Nothobranchius furzeri: one gene and its partner. The protein of the gene in region 1 purifies or fractionates together with the protein of each later gene. This does not show direct contact. Links are inferred from orthologs where the notes say so. Each region holds a gene or a part of one and is shown on either strand. Other genes may lie near its edges.

Region 1 (4,301 bases):
GACCACAAAGGGCGACAATGGCACAGGAGTTAAGTACTCGTTCCATAATAGGAAGGATGCGGGTTCGAGCCCCGCTCAGTCTGTCGCTGTTGTTGTGTCCTTGGGCAAGACACTTAACCCACCTTGCCTGCTGGTGGTGGTCGGAGGGACCGGTGGCGCCAGTGCTCGGCAGCCTCGCCTCTGTCAGTACGCCCCAGGGCAGCTGTGGCTACATCGTAGCTCATCACCACCAGCATGTGAATTTGTGTGTGTGAATGGGTGATTGTGTTGTAAAGCGCCTTGGGGGGTTCCAGGACTCTAGAAGGCGCTATATCAAATATAGGCCATTTACCATTTGGTCCACGGCCTCACCCAGTGTGCGAGCACGCTAACGTTACTCATCGTTTCAGCCAAAAGGCCTCTAGGCATTTGTAGAAAGGGTTTATTACACCTGTATGAAGAGCTTAGAGTGAAAGTGAACAGATATGAATGTATCTGGCAAAGGTCACTGTATGTTGTATGTTGAGAGAGCAAGTCCTGAACAGCACACGGTTATTAAAACTCATACCTGCTGGTTGACATCTGCCCCGTTGTTGACCAGCAACTCCAGACAGAGGGCACCGTTGGTGGAGACGGCAGCCAGGTGCAGAGGGGTGTAGCCGCACTTGTTAGGCTGGTTAACATTAGCTCCGTGGTTCACCAGCTCTGTCGCCACAGCTTCCTGCCCCATGTAGCAAGCCACGTGGAGTGCAGTGTTTCCAAAGCCATTAGGCTCATCAATCTGACCAAAACACACACAAAACACAGCGTTCTAAGCAGAAAGCCAGAAACATTTAAAGACGGGCTCTTTCCTAGATAGTGAGTGTCAAATCTGAAAGAAGGCAGTCTAAAATCAAGACTGGCTGTTCTAAAAGCAAATTCTTTGATGCAACCACTCACCTCTGTACCCATTCTCAGCAGGTACTTTACAATTTCGATGTGACCACTTGCAGACGCAGAATGGAGAGGCGTGTAACCCAGCTTATCCTTACAGCTTTTATCAGCACCGCGAGAAACCAGCATCTTCACAACCTCCAAATGTCCTGCAGGAAACACAAAGTTTACATTTTTATTACCCGCATGACCAAAGGGAACCATGACAAACACAGAAGTTTGAACTACTGAATGAAACCTGCTAACCCAAATAAGCAGCACAATGGATAGGCTGTCTCTCCTTCTTATCAATGGCACTCAGGTTGGCTCCTTTGTTCAACAGCAGCTTCACCATCTGAAAGAAAGAAAACAAAACTTCAAAATATTAGCATTTGTTTCAGTTGTAAGGGCATTTCCAAAGGACAAGTCATAAAATCAGTGCAGTCTCACCTCCTGGAACCCACTTTGAGCTGCATGGTGCAAGGCTGTTCGACCAGTGCGATCTGCCATGTTCAGGTTGCTCAGCTGGGTTAGCAGAGCCTCGGCACAGCGCGTGGCACGATTGGCAGCCGCCACATGCAATGGCGTCTGCCAAAACTTGTCTCGTGCATTTGCCTCGGCTCCACGCCTCAGCAGAAGACCCACTGCCCTCTGAGGAGAAGGAAGCAATAACCAGAGCTTGTCATTTGGACTGATAACATCAATTTTTACACTGTGCTGCTAAATGCATTTTACAATTAAATGTGAATACATCTGACTCTATCAAATAATAACTCATTATGATATAGTCTTACTTCATTCCTACATGCAGCTGCTCTGTGCAATGGGGTCAACCATATGTGGTCCTTAGCATTAACGCTGGCACCTGGACAGATCCAGTCATGCAAATTAGATAATTATTAACATGTTAGAAGGAGAAGCACAGCGCATTTATCAAATTATGTCACACAGCTGATAACTGCACCCAAAGAGATGGTTTGGTGTGTCCATGTGATGAGAAGAAACAAGACATCTGGCTAAAATGCAGCAGACTCACCTGACTCAATGAGGAGGTCCATTATATGGACATCACCCACACAGGCAGCAGCATGAAGAGGCGTGCGGCGCTCTTGGTCCTGTCACACACACACACACACACACACACACACACACACACACACACACACACACACACACACACACAATTAAAAATCTCTAAATCTTCTGCATCAATTTCCCAATAAAACCCCGTGTGCTTTGAACGCACCAGTGCATTGACATCTTCCTTTTTGTGCAATAACAGTTGAATTTCTTCAGTATTCCGACTGAAGATGGCCTGGACCAGAGGAGGCTGCAACACACAATAAACACCAGCTGACTTTGTGCTAAAAATACATGTGCAATTAAAGAAATGAGGTAAAAACGTCTCCGCGCAATCCGGACCAATGGCTTGTCTGGATAAGATCAGCTCGCATCTACGATTTATTTGAACCGATTTAATAATTTAACGTTATTTATTACTTAGTCAAGTTGCTAGAGTCAATAGCACGGCGGTAAATGTTGTTCCAAACGCTTACAGCCGATAAATCACCCAAGAACATCTTTTTCTCCAGGAATTACACCAAGCCTCAGCTTAGGCCTACAGGCCCGTGTCGTCGTACTTACGTCAGCTAGCCAAGTGAGCTGGCCCTGAACCAGACTACGGTCCGAGGAAGGCATTTAACAACGCAAACAACCGTCCACTAACCAAACGACAAAAAATACAAGAAACTAAGTCGTTATCAGTAGGATACGCATTAAAATAAGAACACAGGTCATATTAGTACAAAAATGTTGACAAGTGGATCGGCGAATACGTAGCATGTTGCGCACTAAAGCAGCTCATTTCCAGCAAATAGACTGCGCCATCGCAGAACCACAGCGCCTTCTTTCGGCGTACCTGGTCTGCAATGTTGAGTACTCCCATCTCCCAAACTCAGCCAGGACGGAGCTCCTTCATCGGGATAAAACTTCGAGGTAAATAGTAGTGTGCTACTGTGTCCACCTCTCAGACTACACCCATGACTAAAAGCAAAGACAATTGCGGACTCCGTCTGTCACTGTTGTTGTCTGTATCCAGTGTCTGCTCTGGGACTGCGCTGGTCCGCCTACAGGCGTGGCGGTCTGCTCTCCCTGACTCGGGCTAAATGTCGACACCTTGTGGTAGAAAGATTTATCGCATCCTTTTTTTTAAACATGACTGGCATTTTTTTTAGATCAATTAAAAACTTTTACTGCAGCTTTCACGCAACTAATGTCATGTTAATAGTTTTATACATACTGCATTAAACAAAAAAATGTGACACATTCCTGTTCCCAGCAAAGGTAAGATTACATAAGAATTAGTTTAGTCTTTAGCCTAGCCTAGCCTAGCCTAGAATAGAATAGAATAGAATAGACTTTATTGATCACAGTGGGAAAATTCACATACACTTAAAGAAATGGGAATAAAAATACAAGTAAATACTCAAGGAATTGGGATATTACTGAATAACAATTGAAAGACACATGTATTTCACAAGTATTGAATATAGCTCTGATGTGACGTGACAGGATGGTGACAGTAGCAGTTAAACTGTGGAGTTATAGTCTTACTGCAGAGGAAATGAATGACCTACAGGCCTTTAGTATCATATCTAAACTAAGAACATGTCACTTTTGTATTTTTGTAATAAGAAAAACAAATAAACAATGGTAAGCTTTGTTTTCACAGTTTATGTTTATATGAACAATTTAAAACAACAAATGAAATGTTTTTGCAATTTGTTTTTGATTATGGAAGGTGTGAACTATTTTTCTTTTCTTTTTTAAGAAGAAAATGTATAGAAGAAGAAGAAGAAGATATCATTTCTATAGCACCTCTCAAGATAAAAATCATGAGGCGCTTCACAAAAACAAAAAATGTAAAAATATATAAAAAATTATTTAGAAAATGGTTTAAAATTTGTTTAAAATGAGCAAAAAATAGACAATTGTGATTTAAAAAAATGTTAAGAAAGAGAGAGAGTGATAAGGCTAATTGATCTGTTTCTTTGTGTGTTTTAAAATAGTAGTAGAATTACACGTCTTGTTACAATTAATAAAATATATTTTAAAATGCCACGTGGCATCAACGTACACTTAAGAGAAGCGCATAAATAAATGTGCAAGTTCATATATTTTTCTAAATAATTTTGGACAGTAAAGATTATGATATATCACAAGGCAAATAGAATGTAAAAATAATAGCATGCAGGTAAAAAATGTATGTGAGGTAATAATGTTGAAATTTTCATTCAAACATCCCCATATTATTTTTTGTTCTGCAGTTTTTATATCTATAATAATACATTTTAGTTCTTGGTGCCTTTCAAAATCTAAAGGCACTTTACGAAATATGATATAAAACATTA
Region 2 (4,493 bases), on another chromosome or scaffold:
ACACTGCCGCTTAACGGTGGATGGTCTACCGTGAAGATGTGCTAGTATAGAGGGCTCATCCTGTCAAAAAAACAAAACAAAACAAAAAAACTGCTATTAAAACTGATAAAAGATATGTTTATTTTCTGTTTAATTTGCACAGTTATTATTAATATATTATTATATATTTTACAGCCACGTTTATGTATTTGTTTGTTAGTTTGTTTACACATTTTATTTCCATATTTATTTATTAATTAATGTATCATTATGTTTCCTCTTTTTTTCATATATTTATTTCTGTATATATTTCTATCTGTGCATAATATTTAGGTGGGTGTTTCTACCACAGGGCCAAACAACACTGGTGGCATCCATTTTTTGGGGGGAGCTGGAATGCAAAACAACCCCATTTTGTCATTTCCTGCCCAGAAGTTCTAAGTTCTGAGGACTACTGAAACGCAGCACTAGTTCCGGATCATGGGTCCCAAACTGCCCCAAAAAATTAATAGGGCCCAATCCCAATACTTGCACTGTGCTCTATGATCTTCTGTGAAATGCACTTGGTGGAGGTGTGCAGTAAGGCTTCGAGTGTGTGGTATACAAATGTGCAAATCTTTGTCAAATTGGGACAGGGAGCATTGCGCCATCGACCGCAACGCATGCCGGGATGCTGGTCGCTGTGCCAGGCCCGGAGTGGCTAATCGGGAAGGTCTGGAGAATTCCCGGTGGGCCGCGCGATGTTTGGGCCGCATGGGCCGGTGCTCTCGTTTTTGTTTTATCATTTTGTTTTTATTTTTTGGTGCCGGTGTTCAGTCATGGCACTGAGGCCGCCGGGCTGATCACATACGCTCCTCCCGGCTGTCTACCTGCAGGCTGCAGCTCGTTTTCTTTTTCCCCCGTATGCGCCTGTGCGCACCACGTGACCACGCAGTTGACGGAGAGATGGAAAGTAGAAAGAGCAAGGGTGGCGCGGAGAAGGCAAGAATTAAAAAGAGGAACGCGCTGGAAACAGATGCAGCTAAATGTGCAAAAATGAGCACCTTTTTTTCTCAAACAAGCTTGCGGTCTTTAACTTCAAATGAAGATAAAACGGGTAAGGCAAGTCAAGATGTTAAACTTTACCGGCTGCAAATCACCATTCAAGCTAATTAAGCATCAATAATGAATTATATGGCATCATGACATAACGTTATGTAATATAATTAACAGTATGATGTGACTGATGCCACCAAACTGTCTTGTAGCCCACAAGATCCAGTAGGCCTAATAAGCACCAGGCAGAAACCCACCATTCCAGAGCGGGCATGTACAGGTAGGATTACTTATTGAGTCAGTGAACTGAATATTATTAAAATTTATATGATGAAAACTATCCTGGCTCTATATGAAAGTGTTCTAAAATGCTAGATGATTCAGCATTGATCAGAAAGCGTGTAAAAAAGGAAAATGAATGCTGAATTTTCACACAGTGTGATTTAGTGTCAGAAGAAGAGCCAGGAGCCAGCAGTGAGGGTATTGCTCCTGTTGGGATAGAAGGTGAGCCAACTCATGTGCAAACAAGCAAACATCAGTTTCATTATAATAATTTTAATGTCCAAATAATAGTAGTGACCTGATGTATTTCTGTTAGTAAATGCACAAAGCCCACAACAGATCGCTATTAGAATGAAAGTAAAATGAAATAAGCCTGCATATTTTGCCATAGAAAATATTTTAATTGGTTACAAAAATGTGTTTTCCATATCAAATGTGCTAAAGCTTTACAGATGATTATTTTAATTGTGTGCAGGTGAGTCTAGGGAAACTGGAAAAAGTGTGAAAGGGAGTGCTGAGTCATTTCATTTTAAAGGTTTGAAAATCTCAGAACAGCTGTTTGAACAGAAGGTGGATTGTTATATTGTTAGAGAAAGTGTTGTAAAGAACAATGTTGGAGATGTGCACTGATGTTCAAATAAAGTAAAGCAACTCTTTCTTGCGCTGAATTACAAGGCTTTACCGAGTAGTGTGCTTTTGTAGACTATACATATAAAGTTCTAACATGATTTTAATAATAATTCGTTAAGTGGGCCGGTCTGGGGTCTGAAACTCCAGGGCTGAAAATGTGTCCCACTCCGGCCCTGCGCTGTGCTACTTTTATTTTTAAAAAATACCTTTATTAACAACTTTCAAACAAACAAACAATTATTTGAAATTTATTTACATCAATTGCTGTCTTGTCCAAAACATTCAGAGCATCAACCAATCATCCTAAAATGAACTACTTTCATTTGAAAATACATATTTTCAGAAAAGACGATTTAGCCATTTTTCCCACAACAATGGATTGTGGGTATTACCCTTCACCCAAGTCCACATCAATGCAGACTTGGGTGAAGGGGGGATCAAGGGTGCATTTGAGAATTGGGACACCCTACACACTCGCACCCCTGACAGAGATTGTGCAATTGAAGGGCGCAAGTGTGGAAGTGCAAGTATTGGGATTGGGCCTAAGAGTCTATGAGATGACAAAGATTATTTTCTGATCCCAATTTATGTGCCATTGATTTCACATATGCTGTCAGTGAATTTTAAAGATTCATTTAGAGATTGGGGGGGGGGGGGGGGGGGGGGGCTAGTACCTATCTCCAGCGGTCAATGGGCAATCAGGCAGGGTACACCCTGGACAGAGAGCCAGTCCATCGCAGAGAAAGCGCTTATTCTAAAGTTATTTTAGGTTTTGTGTGAAAAGATGTATGGGACTACAAATGTTTGTCTCACCAAATTGACGTCATCAAACCAGACAGGAAAAGAGAAGATTAGTTTAGCAAGGTTCAAATCCCTCTTCCACTCGACTCTCAATTCGACTCGAACTTTATAAGCACCTTACAGACACTTACATGCCACCAAAGTGCTTCACAGACACAGATTAAAACATAACACATAAAATCCACTAAAAGTGAAGAAAACACAACCAAATACAAAAATTTAAAATCAGACAAAAAAGCAACACAGTCAATCACTTACACAGATCAAGGTCATCAAGATGGAGGCCCTCACTGTGCTCTGTGCTTTCTCATGATCTCCCACCCACCTGTGGATTCAGTTGGTCGAGCACCACACAGGCTGCTCCCGCTGAGGAAACCAGGGTCCCAGCCCCCCCCCCCCCCCCCCCCCCCGCCACCCCCCCCACCTACCGGGTCTCATGTTGTGAACTGTGACATTCGTGCTTATATGTAGAGGTGTTTTTTTGCATAGTAGAGCCACACCCTGCCGGTGTAACTCTGTTGATGCCTTTTTCTCCCTCCCCGAACTCTCCTCATGTAATCCCCTCTTCATCTATTGAAATGAGCGCTGTTATGGCTGCTCCCGTGGTCTGCCTGTATCTGTCTTGTCTATATGTGTGTGTGTAATCTTGGTCAGGCTGTTCTGTGGAGTCAAGTTCCTATGCTCTGGTTCGCTGGAGTGCTGGCAATAAAATTCTCTCTGATTCTCTGATTCTGATTAAAAGCAAGTTAATAAAAATGTGTCTTCAGCTTGGATTTTAAAACTGGTATGGAAGAGGACTGCCAAAAGTGTAATGGAAGCTCATTCCATAGTTTTGGAGCTGCAACTGAAAGGCTCATGTCACCCCGCATCTTCACTATCTTCACTCCCAAATTAACAGCATAGTCCTGTGGTGGGTTAATTCACCACAATCCACCATGGAGTTTATCGGTGTGGCGGCTCGAAGAGCACTGCTTCTGTCTTCCCCTCATTGAGGCACAGGAAATGTTCTACCATCCACCACTGACCTCACACAAACAATCTAAAACCTTTGAGATTGGTTGACCACCAGCTTCATCCAAAGGCAAGTACAGTTGGCAGTCATCAGCATACAGGTGAAAATCAATACTGTGTTTCCATAGGATATCACCCAAAGGCAGAATATACACACAAAACAGCAGGGGACCCAGTATTAAACCCTGCGGAACACCCCAGAGGAGATGGGAGAATTCAGATGAGAAACCACCCATCTGGACACACACCATTTTATTAGAAAGGTAGGACCAAAACCAAGTCATTCCCACATAGTGCTCAAAACGATCCAACAACACTGTATCAAAGGCTGCTGTCAAATCCAGCAAAACATGTAACATAGACCTTCCGCCATCAGTTGCAAGAAGAATGTCGTTCAGGACCTTCAGCAAAGCTGTCTCAGTGCTATGTAGTGGTTTAAAACCAGATTGAAATTTTTGTAAAACATTATTTTCACTCAAAAAGTCCAGCAATTGTCCAGAGACACTGGTCAACAAACGAAGGAGCATTAAACATGGAAATAACCACTTTAAATATGGCCACGTAGAAAGTAGCACGGAATAAGATATTCTGTGATAATGTCATAGATGTGGTGTCTAATTTGTTGTCACTTTAATATTACATTTTACAAGCTAATAAATCTCAATTTACGTGACAGAAACACACGTAATAATTTTTAATCTAACTTAAAGTGCAACATATGTGCAATACAGGTCGAAAGGCAAAACGGATTAGAA

What was found.
Region 2: the proteins of ankrd52a (region 1) and ppp6r2b purify together in Homo sapiens (affinity purification with mass spectrometry; 3 studies listed by BioGRID and IntAct, counting the BioPlex papers as one, with this or other methods). This does not show direct contact. The link is inferred for Nothobranchius furzeri from reciprocal best matches to the Homo sapiens genes ANKRD52 and PPP6R2.

The regions. Positions count from the first base shown.
Region 1 is NC_091755.1:37,185,775-37,190,075, forward strand, and holds the start of ankrd52a (serine/threonine-protein phosphatase 6 regulatory ankyrin repeat subunit C), read right to left. Parts: upstream 2,991-4,301; 5' UTR 2,837-2,990; coding exon 2,810-2,836; intron 2,222-2,809; coding exon 2,138-2,221; intron 2,007-2,137; coding exon 1,928-2,006; intron 1,757-1,927; coding exon 1,686-1,756; intron 1,543-1,685; coding exon 1,342-1,542; intron 1,247-1,341; coding exon 1,159-1,246; intron 1,062-1,158; coding exon 919-1,061; intron 761-918; coding exon 548-760; intron 1-547. UniProt on the Homo sapiens protein: Putative regulatory subunit of protein phosphatase 6 (PP6) that may be involved in the recognition of phosphoprotein substrates.
Region 2 is NC_091744.1:70,738,281-70,742,773, forward strand, and holds the start of ppp6r2b (serine/threonine-protein phosphatase 6 regulatory subunit 2), read right to left. Parts: upstream 3,110-4,493; 5' UTR 2,986-3,109; intron 1-2,985. UniProt on the Homo sapiens protein: Regulatory subunit of protein phosphatase 6 (PP6). May function as a scaffolding PP6 subunit. Involved in the PP6-mediated dephosphorylation of NFKBIE opposing its degradation in response to TNF-alpha.